3 linked regions of the Ovis aries genome follow. The protein of the gene in region 1 purifies or fractionates together with the protein of each later gene. This does not show direct contact. Links are inferred from orthologs where the notes say so. Each region holds a gene or a part of one and is shown on either strand. Other genes may lie near its edges. The genes, in order: SPDYC, CDK1 and CDK2.

What was found.
Region 2: the proteins of SPDYC (region 1) and CDK1 purify together in Homo sapiens (co-immunoprecipitation; 3 studies listed by BioGRID and IntAct, with this or other methods). This does not show direct contact. The link is inferred for Ovis aries from reciprocal best matches to the Homo sapiens genes SPDYC and CDK1.
Region 3: the proteins of SPDYC (region 1) and CDK2 purify together in Homo sapiens (co-immunoprecipitation; 3 studies listed by BioGRID and IntAct, with this or other methods). This does not show direct contact. The link is inferred for Ovis aries from reciprocal best matches to the Homo sapiens genes SPDYC and CDK2.

The regions. Positions count from the first base shown.
Region 1 is NC_056074.1:39,830,647-39,835,838, reverse strand, and holds SPDYC (speedy protein C), read right to left. Parts: upstream 3,153-5,192; 5' UTR 3,133-3,152; coding exon 2,991-3,132; intron 2,708-2,990; coding exon 2,649-2,707; intron 2,388-2,648; coding exon 2,302-2,387; intron 2,195-2,301; coding exon 2,023-2,194; intron 1,913-2,022; coding exon 1,588-1,912; intron 1,386-1,587; coding exon 1,351-1,385; 3' UTR 1,161-1,350; downstream 1-1,160. UniProt on the Homo sapiens protein: Promotes progression through the cell cycle via binding and activation of CDK1 and CDK2. Involved in the spindle-assembly checkpoint. Required for recruitment of MAD2L1, BUBR1 and BUB1 to kinetochores.
Region 2 is NC_056078.1:15,813,933-15,819,463, reverse strand, and holds the start of CDK1 (cyclin-dependent kinase 1), read right to left. Parts: upstream 3,244-5,531; 5' UTR 3,173-3,243; intron 710-3,172; 5' UTR 685-709; coding exon 648-684; intron 1-647. UniProt on the Homo sapiens protein: Plays a key role in the control of the eukaryotic cell cycle by modulating the centrosome cycle as well as mitotic onset; promotes G2-M transition via association with multiple interphase cyclins.
Region 3 is NC_056056.1:163,556,099-163,561,455, forward strand, and holds the start of CDK2 (cyclin-dependent kinase 2), read right to left. Parts: upstream 3,395-5,357; 5' UTR 3,274-3,394; coding exon 3,158-3,273; intron 2,436-3,157; coding exon 2,358-2,435; intron 2,241-2,357; coding exon 2,120-2,240; intron 1,472-2,119; coding exon 1,301-1,471; intron 850-1,300; coding exon 748-849; intron 81-747; coding exon of another isoform or gene 1-80. Other genes in the region: melanocyte protein PMEL, read left to right, coding at 4,282-4,357. UniProt on the Homo sapiens protein: Serine/threonine-protein kinase involved in the control of the cell cycle; essential for meiosis, but dispensable for mitosis. Phosphorylates CABLES1, CTNNB1, CDK2AP2, ERCC6, NBN, USP37, p53/TP53, NPM1, CDK7, RB1, BRCA2, MYC, NPAT, EZH2.

The sequences.
Region 1 (5,192 bases):
GGAAGGAGAACCAGGTGGCTGGTAGTCAGGGGCAGGAGATGACTCTTGGTTCAAAATTCAAAATATATATGTGACTATATTACCTATTTGAAGAACTCTTAAAAATACTTTACAGTCCTTGTCTTGGCTTCTAATGTCTGCAGCCTCCAGGCTTCACCCCCATGCTTCTTGGGAACCACTCAGAGAGGAGGGAGGGAAATTACATTTAGATTCCTCTGCCACCTGACCCCTTAGACATCTCTGCCTTCTTTCTGTTCCAGATACACTCCCCTTTAACCTTTCTCTGGGCAGCAATTCCCTCTACTGATAACACCCACATCCGAGCTCCTTTCTTGAGATCTACTTCTAAACCCTTCTAGTATTATCACATCCAAATCTCAAACAGTATCCTTTCTAGTGTAATACTCATTTTACAGATGAGGCGGTAGAGGAGATTAAATCTGTTGTGCTAAAGTCATGCAGAAACCTGGATTTTGAACTTAAACTGTCTGGCACCAAAGACCAAGTCTTAATCACTACTCTAGACAGTCTTTCCAAAAATCCTGCTCCTCACCACCACCCAAGCACGGGCAAACTTGACATAGTTCATCACATCAGACGGACTTCTCTGGTGGCTCAAGCAGTAAACAATCCACCTGCAGTGCAGGAGACCTGAGTTCAATCTCTGGGTTGGGAAGATCCCCCGGAGAAGGAAATGGCCACCCACTCCAATATTCTTGCATGGGAAATCTCATGGACAGAGGCGCCTGGTGGGCTACAGTCCATGGGGTCACAAGAGGCAACTGCAGCCCAGAGCAAGGACTAAGACTCATTCTGAAAAAGACCTCACCCTGCAGGCATTCCTAGACTGACATAGAGCCATTTTCCTTTGGAGCTCTTTTTGGTCCAGTAGGTCCCAGGCCCTCTTCTAAGGACTGCATATAGCTCATTTCATTCAGTTCCGTGGGCTCTATGTGGGTGTCAGCATCCACTAAGATGTTAAAGAGGAGAAACAGCGGGATGACTGGTCACCAGTGGGAAGGGAGAGCTATTACAGGGCCTGTGCTCAGGGGTCTCAACCACTGGTACCTAAATCTGGCAGATCCCCCCCTTCCCCAAAACTTCCTCCCTACTCCCACCCTGGGTGAAGGACCCAGACCAGGGCCTAAGTACAGCCGATGTCCTGTGGGTATGAATTTATTAGAGGAGTCAGGTCAGAGTGGGTACAAGTTGCAGGTTGGGAGAAAGGGGCAGGAGGCATGAGCAGCCCTGCCAGCCTGAGGCCAAGCAGACAGGAGGCTGGAGGGGCCACAGTCAGTAGAGCACTGGGCCAGCAGGCAAGCAGATGGGCTGTTCTTCACCCTGCGAGTATCAGCGCCGAGGGCACAGCAGCAGCTTAGAGAAGACTGGGGGAGGAAGGACAGAGAGCTGCTCAGAGGAAGCCTGCCAAGCTCACACAGCAAGGGGGTGCAAGCTGGACACTTGCCCAAGCCTGCTGGACCCCAGGCACCATGCCCTTCCTTCCCATTCTGTTGGGCTCCACACCTGCCTTCCAGCTCCTCCCAGCACCCTGCCCCCCCCACCCCCCAGCTTCTGTCCACTACTCACTGTGGAGGGTATAGGTGCCTGGTTCCAGTAGCAGCTGGGTGGGCAGGACAATGAGGAAGCCCCTACTCCAGGGCCAAGCTTGGAATGAAGGGCGGTGCCACTCAGCATTGTAGGAAAGGCACTTGGATAAGACAGGCAAGGGGCGGGGGCGGTGGCAGCACAGGCTGCGGCGAGGGGGCAAGGCACAGAGAGGGCAGTGGGGTGGCGAGAGGCCAGGACCCCGGGGGAGGGGGATCTGGGCCTTTGGGTAGCTCCTTTGAGCCCTGCCATGGTGGGGGTGCCGCTCCCGAGTCCAGGCCCAGTGGGTCGGCTCCTTGGCCATGACCTGCATGAGAAGAGTAGATGGTAAGTGTGAGGTGGGAGGCCCAGCCTCTTTCCCCCACCCTGGGATGCTGGTGTGTGTGTGTGTGTGGGGGGGGGGGGTTGGCGCCTCACCTCCTCGCAGCTCTGGCGTCTCACAACAGCCCTGAAGCCCATCCGTGCCCACAGCTTGTCCCTCTGATGCAGGAAGTCTGATACTTGGTGATGCCAATCTTGGCCCAGGGCCCACAGAAAAATCACGCTTTTGGGGTCCTCCAGGTCTTCCTCCATGTCATTTGCAAGGTACCTGGCCACAGAGGTGGGGGACAGGGGGAACAGAGGTTGTAAGCATCCACCCTGCCCCCACCCTGTGACTCCAAGTGGGCGTCCCCACCAGGCACCCGGGCCACTCACAGTGCCAGGAACAGATTGCTGTGGGTGTACTCGCTGAGCTGCAGGTTGGCACGCCGGAAGTAGACCAGCACCATGGCCAGGAGATACTGCAGACGCAGAAATGGGGAGAGTTAGAGCAGGGCACTGCGGGCAGGGGAGGGGACTGTGCCAGGCCCATCAAGCAGGTTCTGGGCTTGGAGCAGGCCTAGAAAATCCAGGGTAAAATGGTGCGGGGGGACCTGCAAAGACAAGGGCTTAAAATGGGGGCATTCCCTCCACCAAACCAGGGGACCCAATGCATTAGCAGCACTCAGGCTCCACTAATTCAACCTTCCCCGAGTGAGCCTGGACTCTCCCCCCACTCTCACCTTGTCTGAAATCTGGAAACAGGGATCTTTGGAGAGGAAATCCTGGAGGAAACTGTGCTCTGGGGGAGAGGAGGAGAAATGGTAGCCTGGAGTTACCACCCTCACCCCAGGAGACGAGAGCAGCATTCTAAGTTCCAAAGCCCGAGCCCCCACTGAACCCACTTGTCTGACATGTCTGACATGAACCGCCTCCCCCCATCCCGCCCCCTCGCAAACCTGCCAAACCAGAGTTACTTGAGAAGGGATGGGACCAAGACGTGGGCAGGCTGAGATCCCACCTCTCACATCAGTTCACGCTTGGTCCTCACAGTCCCTTCTGTGCCAGCCCCCAAGTGGACTCACCCAGAAGGTGGAGAAAGGCCTGGAGCTCTTGGTGTTGGCGGAGATGGGAAGACTCATCACCCTCACCTTGACAGCTCCAGCCCCTCAGCTTCACTTGGGTATCAGCTCCAGGGACTGTGGCCGGATCTTGGGCATCGTTCATCTCTTGGGGGGTTGGGGGCGGGTGGGGTGGGGTGGGACAGGGTGACCTGTAAAGAAAGCAGCCCCAGGACTTAGCATTTACCCCATCAGCCCCACACAAGTCAACAGGATCAGTGTGGCTGGCCTGACAGAGGACCTCCAGAGGGTGGAGGGATGGGCATGGAGAAACAGGGGTGGGGGTGGGGGTGAGGAGACAAGACAGGCCGCAGAATTCCTGGGAGCTACAGCACCCTCACGCCTCCTCCTGGCACCCCAGACCAGGCCAGAGAGTAACAACAGCAGCAACGAGCGCCTCTGAGGGTTTCCTAAGTGCCTGGAGCTGTGTTAAACGCTTTAACTTATTTAGTCCTGGTAAGTAAACCCATTTTGCAAACACAAAAACTGAAGCATGGAGGTCTCATGGCCACTTCAAGGTGGTTCCTGTCTGACCCCAAAGCCAGAGACTCATGGCGCCTCTTGCCACCCAATTCACAACCACCCCCTCACCCTTCATCAAGCAGCCCTGAAAAGACCAGCAGACCATTACTTCACAGAGGGAAAACTGAAGCCCAGAGACAAGGACGTTATCAGACAAAAATACTGGGGTTTAGGGCGAGTTCTGAGGTGGAGCCACTGCAAACATTTGGAGCTACAAAGAGAGAGACTCCAACTACAGGTCTCGGGGGAGGGTCCCTTCCAAAACGGCTTGGTCAACCTAGGGGCCTCCATCTAGGTTCCCTCAGGTAAGCCCAGCCTCCTCCTTCCAGAAGACTTACCTGAGCTCAGGAGTTAGCCTACAGCGTAACTCCAAGCCCAACGAGTGTGTTTATATAGCCCCAGAGCTGCCCCGCCCTAGAAGCCCTCCACCAATCAGGCCCCTTCCTGGGAAAGGGTGTGGCTTCTCGTCATCACCGCTCACCTCCACTTAGAGTTAACCCAGTCAGTCTCCACCACGCACCTCCCAGCTGCGGCTCTCCTGGGTAAAGGCTTCTCTCAAGTTTCATCATCTACGAGAAGGGTGAGGGCAGGCCAGCGGGACCCCAGGGCCAGAAAGGCAGCAGGAGCCCTTCTCCGCTCTTTACAAATGCAGTGCCAAGGTGCGGACCTAGAATGCTACCAACCTGGGTTGCGGCGCGTGGCTGATGAGTAAATTATAAATATTCAGTGATTGTGCCTTGCTGGGGAAGGGTCGCTGGTTGTGTCTGTATTTATTTCAGATACAGGAATCCCCAAACCTGGGAACCAGAGAGGAGATTGTCTTGGAGTGAGAATTCCCTGGGGCCACATCCCCATTCCAAGGTCCTTTAGGGATACGAGAGCCCCTCCAGAGGCTCCAAAGTGGAGGAGGAGGGCTTTGCCCAGGACCACCTAGCTCAGCCCCTCCACACTGCTCCCCCACACGCCCCACCAAGCAGACCTTAAGCCTTTCCATCTTCACTGACTCAGTTTCTCTTCACTCTTTAGTGTTGTGGGACAGTCAGCACCTACATGTGACAGGTGACTTCTCCCCCCTTTTTTTCCCTTAATAAAGTACACATAACTTGAACAATACGTACTGCCTTAACACCCTTTAAGTTCACATTTTTAAGTACTCACGAAACAATAGCTCCCCATTTCAAAACTTTCAACTGAGGACTTGGGGGATAAGAAGGAAGAGGATATTAAACTCGAAGTCACGGAACAGGAAAGCAGTGAGAGTCACTTTAGAGTGAAAACGGTGACGCATCTCAAGAAACTCAAAGAATCATAATGGGTTCCCAGGAACTCAGTCAGGTTTCTCTTTGAAGATCAGAGGATTGCTGATGATCACGCTCCAGAAGACCTGGGAGGGGCTTCCCTGGTGGCTCAGTGGTGAAGAGTCCACCTGCTAATGCAGGGGACACGGGTTTGATCCCTGCTCTGGGCAGATCCCACCTGCTGCCCAGCAACTAAGCCCAGGCACCATGACTACTGAGCCTGTGCTCTGGAGCCCTCAAGCCACAACTGTTGAGCCCACGCGCTGCAACTGCTGAAGCCTGTTCACTCCAGAGCCCGTCCTCCGTTCCTGACAAGAAAAGCCACCACAATGAGAAGCCCTCGAAC
Region 2 (5,531 bases), on another chromosome or scaffold:
GGTTCCACATCATGCATATAGTTACGTTCTCTGTGATCTAAAAAGGCAAAAGGGGTTCAAATTATTGCCTGAGTTCAATGAATTATTTTTGTTAACTTAGAAGGAAATCACAGAACAACTTGGTAATGATTGAAATAAGAGCTGATATATTTAAGAAATGAATTAGGTAGTCAAAAACTCAATGTCAAGGGGGAAAAAGACAAGAGGACTATTTTACTCAAAAGACATGAAGACATTAACTACCAAATGAAATACATGACCCTGACTAGTACTTCAGAGAGTATATGCAGACATACTTAAAACTAAAGCACATAATTTCACTGCCCTAACACTCTCAACACACCTACAAAATAGCAATAGTGTTTTTTTAAAAATACACAGATGTATTGCTTTAAGTGTTTAGTATTAGAAGAATGTAAGATTATTGGAGGGATGCTGGTAGGGAGACATGTCAGAATAATTTCAGTGCTCTTGAAAGGTTAACTTTTTTTTTTTGCTTATGCTACTATATATAGCATATATATATGAGAACATATATATTAATGTACTAATGACTGTTGGATACTTTAAAAACTGAATTTGAATATTTACATGTCAAACCATTAAATCATTTTTAAAATTCCTTGTATATTATTAAAGCCACTCACCTTCTCCAATTTTCTCTATTTTGGTATAGTCTTCCATAGTTAATCAGTGGGTACGGTAGATCCTAAAATGAGAAGAAAAGCTTATTTGATCACATGTCACCAATTCAAAGGGTGCTTTTAAGTTATTGATAAGATATTACAAGTAAAGAATTTCCCACTGTGCCTAGAGCAGTACTAACTTTCCATAATAGGACTTCCCTCACGGTGCAGTGGATAGGAATCCACCTGTCAATGCAGGGAACACAGGTTCAATCCCTGGTCCAGGAAGATTCCACATGCCACAGGGCAACTAAGCCCAAGCATCACAACTACTGAAGCCTGTGCACCTTGCTGGTGCACCGCAACAGAGAGTAGCATCCACTTGCCTCAACTAGAGAAAGTCACTTGTGGCAATGAACATCCAGTGCAGCCAAATACAAATAAATTTTTAAAAATTTTTCCATAATATTAGCTATTCTATTAAAACAATATTTACAAGGGGAAGAGCTCAAGACTCTCCCACCTTTCTTAGCTTCTGAAACATTGGAAATATTTGTATATCCTATACCTGGATAACTTTGGTATACTAAGTCGCTTCAGTGTCCGACTCTGTGTGATCCTATGGAGCCTGCCAGGCTCCTCTGCCATAGGATTCTCCAAGCGAGAATACTGGAGTGGATTGCCATGCCCTCCTCCAAGGTACCTTCCTGACCCAGGGATGGAAACCACTGTCTGTTATGTTCCCTGCACTGGCAGGCAGGTTCTTTACCACTAGAGCCACCTGGGGGCTTCTTTCAAAATTAACTTTCAAATTCAGACATCAACATCTATCCGTCCCAAAGAAAACCCTGATGTTCTTTACATAAGACTTCCAAGGCTCATCAATGTGCGCCAGTTATACCCAAATAGTTTAGCAATGAATGCTACTTGAATTTGTAGCTTCATGATACTTTTATGAAGTTAATAAACAATTTTTAAAGACATGAGTAGGGAGCTAAAATGTGGTCACACTGTTCAACCATTAGAAAATATTTAAAGCAGCAAAAGTATATTCATTTCAACTTGCTCAAATGACAGTTTTTATCTTTCTCTTGTTGTCAGGAGTCACGTAACACAAACATGATAAAAAAAAACTTTCAAGATACCTTTTGTAAAGTAGGAAATATCACTAAGCACTCTAAAAGAAAATGGGCAATTCCATACATAAAGTCTAATTATATCCCATGCAATGTCAAGAACAAAGAATGTCCATATACTTGAATCACACACACAAAAAAATGGTTAAGAAAAAAAAAGCCCAAATGACAACCAGATACTCAAGACTTCCTGGTAAGTTTGCCATGGAAACATCAACTTCAGAAGCCCAAACCATCATTTTATATCACTGATAAAATCATAAAGGTCACTGAACCTTAAGTTACATTGACCCTTGAGTTAAATTTCTCACATTCTTTTTCAAAATCATTCCAGACACAAGCAGAGATAAACTTTTTTAAATAAACAAAATTGCACTACTCTGGCCATCTTAAAAATGTTCAATTTTACAAATGGCAATGGATTAGGACTAACTATCTTTTCTTCAATATCCAGCTGTAATATGCCCAAATCACAATGAAACTGTGGAGCTTATTTTAAACAAAATAACTGAAAACTAACTCAATTTCAAAGCTGGGTTCAATTACTCTTTCACCTTTCCCTGGTTGCAACTATTTTAAATAAAGGATGTGGCTTCGTAATGCCTTTTGAATGCCTCCTCTATTCCTAGTGGCAGGATGTAAAATACCAATGGCTTCATCCACCCAGACACCTCCAGGTCTTTAAAGAAAGCAAGACCTGCACGTTAAAACTGATTAAAGGATTTTAAATGACACGTTTCTAACTCTCGGCGTTTCTTAGATTTCCAGTTTTTGCCAATTCCATTGTATGTAACAACCACCAAGCATAAAATAAAATCCAAAAAATCCAAGTTCTCTCGGGGTCTATGCCCAGGATAAGTGTTCTTAAAAGCTCCAGGTAAGCTAGGGTCATGGGAGCAGAGAGGCAAGCTGAGAAGGCCCACAAGTTAGTTCTTCCGGTCGGTTTCCCGTGACCACCTGGGATTAGAAGCAGGCCCGAGCACCGGGCTGAGTTGCAATCTTGCTTTCCACTCCCGGAGGCGAAGCTAGGAGCTGCAGGGCAGAGCCTGGCACTCCACAAGCGCTTGGTGTCGGCGAACGAAGGCACAAATCTGCCTTCCATCAACCCCAGAAAGCCTCCTCAGCCGCCCGCGACCCCAGATTGCAATTCAGAGACCACAGCAATGCCAACCCTGCCTGGCCGGGCTGGGCTCCCCCACGCCTCCCACTGAAGCCGAGGTTGGGCGTCGCTCCATGCGCAGGCCCGGGGCCTCCGGTTAAGGCCGGGCTTGGCGGTACGCAGAACCCCACTGCCCAGAGCCCAGCCTCCCAATTATCACCTGCTTCATTAATACTCCCCCTCCAAGGTCCGCGAGCCAGCCCTTCCGAGTGGACACCCCATAGGCAACACCCTGACCTCACCAACGCTACCCGGCTTTATCCCGCGGCGAAAGCTGCGGCGGCTACCAAGTCGGCGACGCTCTCCCTAACTTCCAAGCGCCAGCTTTGGAGCTAAGTGCGAGCAGTTTCAAACTCACCGCGCTAAAGGGTCCTGGATTCACCAATCAGATAGCCCGTAGACTTTTAAAGGAGCCAATCAGAGCCTAGCTTCCCTTAACGCTGGCCTCCCCGGGTGGCTAGAGCGCGAAAGGTGGAGGAAACGGCGGCTGGAGAAAAAGCAGAAGGGCGGGCGCCAACTGAGTCTGAGCGCAAGCGCGTTCCAAGATAGGGTCGTCTTATTGTTTCTAGTCATAAGAAATCTACTGTCCTCTCAGGGTTGGGTTTTTTTCTCTCCCAATATTGGCACAATAAAAATTTGAGGTATTCAAATAGTTCATCACAGAAGTGGTGCTACACGTAATCCAGATCCCATTACTTTCATTTCTGATACTGAAAGCTAATGTATATTTATGCTTTTCTAAAATAATGAATCTCAGTCTGGGTCAAAGAGCATGATTCTGCATGTCCCAAGGGGAAGATCCCTCATGCTCAACTTAAGACTCAAGGCAGCCAAAAAACAAAACAAATAAAGTTTGTTTTAATAGAAAGAGGTAATAGAAAACTAGGAAAGATGTCCTCAACAGGGTAAAGAAACTTTTCATATATATATAAATATATATATGAATATGAGTTAGATACATTTTTGTCACATTTCACACACATATATGGCTGAGCTGTTTTCACCTCACTGTTTTAAATTTCATTTTTAAAATCTATGTAACATTTTGACTTAAAAATTAAAAAGCAAAATTTTTCTTTTCTTAAATGTTAAAATATTCTCACATCAGAATTTTAAATGTTCTTAAAAACACAAAAATTCACACTTCTGTGGGAGAAGAAAAAGATCTAAATTACACTTTAAATAATCCCGTATCCCCAAACTCTTTCATTGCCCTCCACCATATCCTAAAGAGATTTCTGCACCTGAACATCATTCTTAAGTCTTTAAGAAAATAAAAAAGTAAAATAGAACTGAGGATAGTAAGAGTCTTTCCACTGACTGTATCGAGATCTGGAACAAATACTGATTACCATGCCCTCTACAACTATGTGTTTGATGATCCAGATTAGGATAAGGAATGGAATAAGTTTATCACATGGCCCCCTATATGTGGCACAAACACTCAACCTTGGCAATTTTGTGCTCCTGGGTGACAGAATATTTTAAATTCATAGTAGAAGTACGAGATTTGGGAAAACTTGGCCTGAACCTAATAACTTTTAAAACTTATTTTTAAAATCTCAAATTCACATTTTAAATGAAAACTGCCTTAAATTGCCTTAAATAAAATGAAAACTGTGTTCTAGAGAAGACTATTCTCTGCTAGTTTAGGGTACTAATTTTAAAGAATAAATATATATAGCTTTCCCTCTGAGAGGCTTAAGCAAAGGATTTAATTTATATCATCTAAAAACAGCTAGTAATTCATTATATACATTTGACATTCAGCATAAAGAAGACCACAAGCTTCCACACTTTCATGCTAGATTTTTATTTAAATTTAACTCAGTTATCTTTCTCTATTTTTGCAGCTTGTTTTTATTTGTTTTTAGTTATCTTTTAAAGTTTCAGGTGGGATGAAGCGAAGTGCAAGTCACTCAGTCATGTTTAACTCTTTGCCACCCCATGGACTATACAGTCCATGGAATTTTCCAGGCCAGAATACTGGAGTGGGTAGCCTTTCCGTTCTCCAGAGGAATCTTCCCAACGCAGGGATCGAACCCAGGTCTTCCGCACTGAGGGGAAGTCTTTACCAGCTGAGCCACAAGGGTTCAGGGGTTGTTCTAAATTTAGGCTCTCATCTTGGCAAATACAATTGACTGTTCATTGGGTCAACTTCTATACAATGTCACAAAGATCAGTCAGGTATTTTCCTGCTTGAGATGTTGGGAGTCGGAGAACACAACCATTACTTGTAACTTGCTTCTGGCACTTACGCTGTAACTTATGCTCTAAGGTGACATGAGAACATAGAGGAGGAAATTACTAATTCAAAAAGAGGATGTGACATTTGAAGAAACATTGGATATGACATTCTCCAGGAACACTGGAGAAGGAATGGTGAGGCAGGCCTTCCAGGCAGAAGTTGTATGAGTAAAGCCCTGAAGTCTGCCCATATAATTTAGGGTGCCTTGATCAGAGGGTAGAGGGCCCCTTAGGTGTTAAGCAGGGAAGGGAATTTGGAGTCAGAATCTAAAAGAGCCCTAAATGCTCTTCTGAGAGGCTGCTCGGAAGAGGTTCAGCTTTGCAACAGTATTTTAGAACTAGGGAACTTTCTTGGTATTTCAG
Region 3 (5,357 bases), on another chromosome or scaffold:
CACAGCGGGCAGAGACTGTGTCTTCCATTTCTTCTGTGTTCCCCACAGCACCTAGCATGGTGCTGGGTACACACTAGGTGCTTAACAAATATTTTTTGATGAATTGAGAGACGTATATGGGCAATTGTAAAGTATTGCACTGGGGGATAAATGCATGTTATATATATGGGCTAATGGTCTCCATGCCCCCAGATACAACCCAGATAAGGGACCATAAAACATACTGCTGACTTGATTTGAAAACTCAGCTCACTCCACTGTTGTATTAAAGGGAATGAGAGCTCCCTTATAAGGCTGGGCCTCAGGGATCCTTCAATCTGAAAAGCCAGAGGTTGAGGGGGGGACATGTCTGCAGTTTAAATAAAAGGTGTGGATAAGGTGGATACAGCTGGCCTCACCACTTCCTGATGCCCTAAAATAAGGTCTATAGGCAAATGAAGGAGATGCTAAATGGAACTTATTTTCCCAAATATATGTAGGCTAAAGCTAGCACAGTTGCAGAAATGATTTAGCTCAGTTTGGAGATAAGCTTTGTATACTGGATGCTAAGCTGTTTGAGGCTATCCTAACATTGTGGTTGACATCAGGGATGACAGCCCTCTCCTTTCTCCATGACCCCCTTTGTGCTACTCTAAAGGAAGAACCCTGTGATAAGAGAAGGACCATGGGTCTGGGCCAAGAAACAGTTCTGTTGTTCTTGAGTGTGGGAAGGAGTGGGCTGAGTAGACCATGGGCATGCCTCCATACCATCTCAGCAAAGATGCAACCGAGGCTCCATATGTCCACTGCTGTGGAGTAGTATTTGCAGCCCAGAAGGATTTCCGGTGCTCGGTACCACAGAGTCACCACCTGAGGAAAAGAGTACAGGACATGAAGATATCCACACGTCAGTTTCTAAACACTATTCTGCTAACTCAATTTCTTCACAAGCAACTTCTATCCCTCCATCCTTCCCTTTACTCTCATTGCCCCTAAGTAAAATAACTGGGTACAACTTCTTAGCCCAGAGTTAGCCTAATCCATGGTTCTGGGGAACATATATTCTGAACCCTCAATTTGCAACCTTCTTGGAAAACTTGAGGCAAATGGTCATAATTTTAAATTTCATGCCTTCCACCTGTCTCCTGGCTCGGTATCTATCAATATATGAATTCTGTGCATACTCTAAGACCTCTTGTGGTGTCAGAAATACTTTCCATCTAGTGAGAAACTGCTGGCCAGATCGTTACTAAAAACTCTATGAATGTCCTTGTTAACACCTCCCAGGAAGTTCAGAGAAGACATGCAGAGGAGGACTCACCTCGTGGGTATAAGTACGAACAGGGACCCCAAAAGCTCTGGCTAGTCCGAAGTCTGCTAGCTTGATGGACCCATCTGCGTTGATAAGCAGATTCTGAGGTTTAAGGTCTCGGTGCAGGACCCGATGAGAGTGGCAGAAAGCTAGGCCCTGGAGCAGCTGGAACAAGTAGCTCTGACAAGGGGAAAGAAAAGACTCTGTTTTTCCACCACCGTGAGCAGATTAGGGTCTCCTCTGTAACTCCAAAGTTCTACTAAAGCCTTTACTAGTTAAATTGTAATTATGTTTTCAAGCTATTTCTCCAGTTGGACTGTCAACCCATTGAGGATAAGATCAGGTCTCATTCAGTTTTGCATTTATGTTCCATAGCGTGGACCAGCACATTGAAAGTGTTCAATAAATGTGTGTTGGATGTTTGTTGGTTGATCGAAAGTAGCTTCCGGAGTAAGGAACCCAGAAAAATGGACAACAGAGACTCACTGGCTATTTCTCCCACCAAACAGGTGGAAGGGCTTTCTGGAGGCATCTACCAAGTACCCCCCAGTCCCATTTATCCGAGTTTCATCTCAAGAACCTTCCACCTGAGCTGCTAAGTTGACTTACTAGAGTTTCAACTTCTTTGATTCCCCTGCCCAGCCCTAGGGTTAAAAGCATAATGAGCAGTGAAAGAGCCACAAGAAAAGGTGTGTGCGTGTGTGTGTGTAGGGGGGTGAGGGCTGGGAAGGAAACCAAGATAAATCAACACTCAGTCCGGATTGCCTGCTTTCAGTCCGGACTCCCAAAACATGCCCATGTTGGGGAGGAGTTGATGAGAAGGAGTACCTTTATGAGCGGAAGAGGAATGCCAGTGAGTGCAGAGGCATCCATGAATTTCTTGAGATCCTGGTGCAGAAACTCAAAAACAAGGTAGAGTTTGTTTTCTGTGTGAATGACATCCAGCAGCCTAGGGAAGGGGGAGGTCCAGGAATACACGTGAGGGAGAGAAAGGCCCAGACAATACAAACAGAAGACATTCTCCTTTACTGTCAGAGCACCTCCCACCTCCCAGATACATACTTACTTGACAATATTAGGGTGATTAAGCTCCTTAAGCAGAGAGATCTCTCGTATGGCAGTACTGGGTACACCCTCTGTCTCACTTGGAGAAGTTGAGAAAGCAGAGATGGGAATGTGGTTACAAATATTTCTTTTCCCTCAGCAGTACAGTCATTCCCCCCACCCCACCCACAGCCCCCACCAACCCAGCATCCCCTAATTAAGTGAGAGAAAGGGTGCTTCAGTGGTTAAATCATGGATGGACAGGAGTGTCTTTTTAGACCCATTAAGATCATCATATCTTCTTTGCCCAGGGCTGGGTTAGCAAAGCCTCTTGGTGAAGTTAAAAGGGGGAAAAGTGTGTGTGTGTGGAAGTAACAACACCCAGCCTCTCTAGAGGTGCCAGTAAGGTTCAACTGCCATTCTTTTGAAAGAGAGAATTCTAAGATGCGGGTGGGGTTGGGGCACTGAGGGCTGGTCTAGTCATTTATAAGGGTGCTCTTTACCACTTATCACAAAACCCATCTCCTCGTCGGGGAGTCCTGGATCCCATCTCAAAAGGCTCCTTCCTCTTCCTGACACTTTCTGACTGTACATTTGGGGACATCGCCCGCCTCTGGGGAGGAAATTTCCCATGGATTCTACACTATCCTATAGTCTCCACCGGGAAACCCTCTACTCGTCCTTCAACCCACCTCTCCACTTCAAAAGACTTCCCTCCCTGCTACCTTCCGGTCCCTGGAAGGCTACCCGCCTGTTGCGGTGGGGGTGGGGGGCACTCAAGGAGCTCCCGAGTCAGGACTCCCGGGTACAGAGGCCACTCACGTGTCCAGGCGGATTTTTTTAAGCGCCACCACTTCTCCCGTCAACTTGTTTTTGGCTTTGTACACAACTCCGTACGTGCCCTCTCCGATCTTTTCCACTTTTTGGAAGTTCTCCATGAAGCGCTAGCGAGTCGGGTCAGCCCGGCCCTGGAGCTGGGGCCTGGGAACCTGCAAAAAACGGCACCCAGCTCTCGGGGGCCGAGGAGGGAAACAGGGCCCAGCACCGCGACCCGAGGTCGGGATGGAACGTAGTGTATCTCTCGCTCTTGTCAATTTGTCCAACTTGAAACAATATTGCCGCCTCCCCCCTCTAGTTCCCTACCGCCACCAGAAGCCCCGCCTCTCCTTCCCGCGTTTCCCTGGCTCCTCCCTCAGATCTTCCTATTGGTCTACGTCAGAGAGGGCGGGGCCAGCCCTGTGTCCCTCGCTGCAAACGACCCCACCCCGAGTAACTTTGGTTCCGAGGAGTATTAAGGATAAATTTTTATCTGGATGGGGAGGCTGAACACCTTTTTCCAAGTATCTGATTTGGGATCGAGTTTTCTCTCTGTGTCCTGAGTCTATAGGGATTTCCTGATCTCTAATCACCGTTTTCACCACCCTAAGGAAAATATGTATTAAATTCCACCTCGCCCTGGAGCCTCCTCTGAAAGCAGGAAACTGGAAATCTCATTGTAAGGGTTTCCTAGGGCTCCGAAGAGTCGTTGTCCCACTTCTCTCAGCCTACCCCAATACTGTCTGTTTTTGGACCCAGGGTCGCTGCTTCTACAGTTATTTTGAGAGGTTCCTGGTTTGACTCACAATAGATTGATCCACTCTCCAATGATGAACCCTGTGCGTCCGGTACGTGTTATGTTTTGTAGCTGCCCTTCAGTCATTTTTTCCCCGCGAGGGGAGATGGAGTACTTTAAGATGAGACTGACCCTGTGAAGCCAGAAACTGTCAATGAGTAGCATGATGTCCAGGGACCAGGATCCCTCCTCTGTTCTGTCTCTCAGATCCTTCTGCTCCTCCCAGGATTTGCCTGGAGGGAGGGGAGGAAGGGCTATGCAAATAAGCACCCCCTTCTTATACAGGGGTTTGTCCAATGCCCCAGAGTCTTTGGTTGCTGGAAGGAAGAACAGGATGGATCTGGTGCTGAGAAAATACCTTCTCCATGTGGCTCTGATGGGTGTTCTTCTGGCTGTAGGGGCCACAGAAGGTGAGTGTGGGATGTGTGGACATGAACAAGTGTGAGTTTAGGGTTACACACCTGCTCTGGTTTTTCTCTCCCTAAAGTGGAAGATAGCAGCAGTGCTTCAGGTGTTTCTCATCCATTTGATTTAGTGAGGACATGGGCAACTGAGCTCCCTCCCCACATGAAGATTTGGGTGCATATGTGTTCAGGCACTTGGGACTGAACCTGAAAACAACCCCATCTACCTGGACGGGTGAGAGAACAGTATGTCTCTGTGGCCCTAATTTTGAGATGCTCTGAATAGTGAGCTGGAACATGGGTGCCAAGGTAGTAAAATGAGTGGAAACTCATTTAGGCTTTGTCTTAAGCACTTGGGATAGGGTATTTAAAGTGAGGAGAAAGCGAATGTGGTGTTTGGATAGAAGGGTAAAGAGGCACCTCATCCCCTCTTTGGGATGGGCATGGGTGAACACAGCCCAGGCTTTTGTTCTGGGGCTGGAAGAGATAGGCAGAGGGGTCTCAGCTGAGCATCACATGAAAGGGCTCTGGGGATTGGGGCCTCGTGACGGGAGCAAGGGGTGGGGGTGGTGAGAGGGTCTGGAATGTCTCGTGCTGCTCTGAGGAGGGAGGATTGGGAGTGGAGAAAGAATGGGGCATCTTATGATTCTCTTGTTCTTGTGGTGAGATATTCAGCGGGATGATTCTAGATCGTCCCCCAGGAGAATCAACCAGGTTTCTGGTACATGTTAGAGATGGAGTGAGGATAGTCTGTGATGTGCAGAAATATCTACATTGTACCCCGGTGCCCCCTTTCTCTAGATCCCTGGTCTCACAGACTTCTTGGAACTTCTCCTTGATCTGACTTCCCTCATTCACAGTGTGGTTTCAAGTCTTTTTCTTTTACTATGTTCGTTATTGTATTCTGGAAATATTCTGTTCATATGTGTCCACCCAAGGCTCTTAAAATATTGTGCTTACATTTTGGATCCAGATTTTTTAAATCATAAGAAGACATTTTTCTATA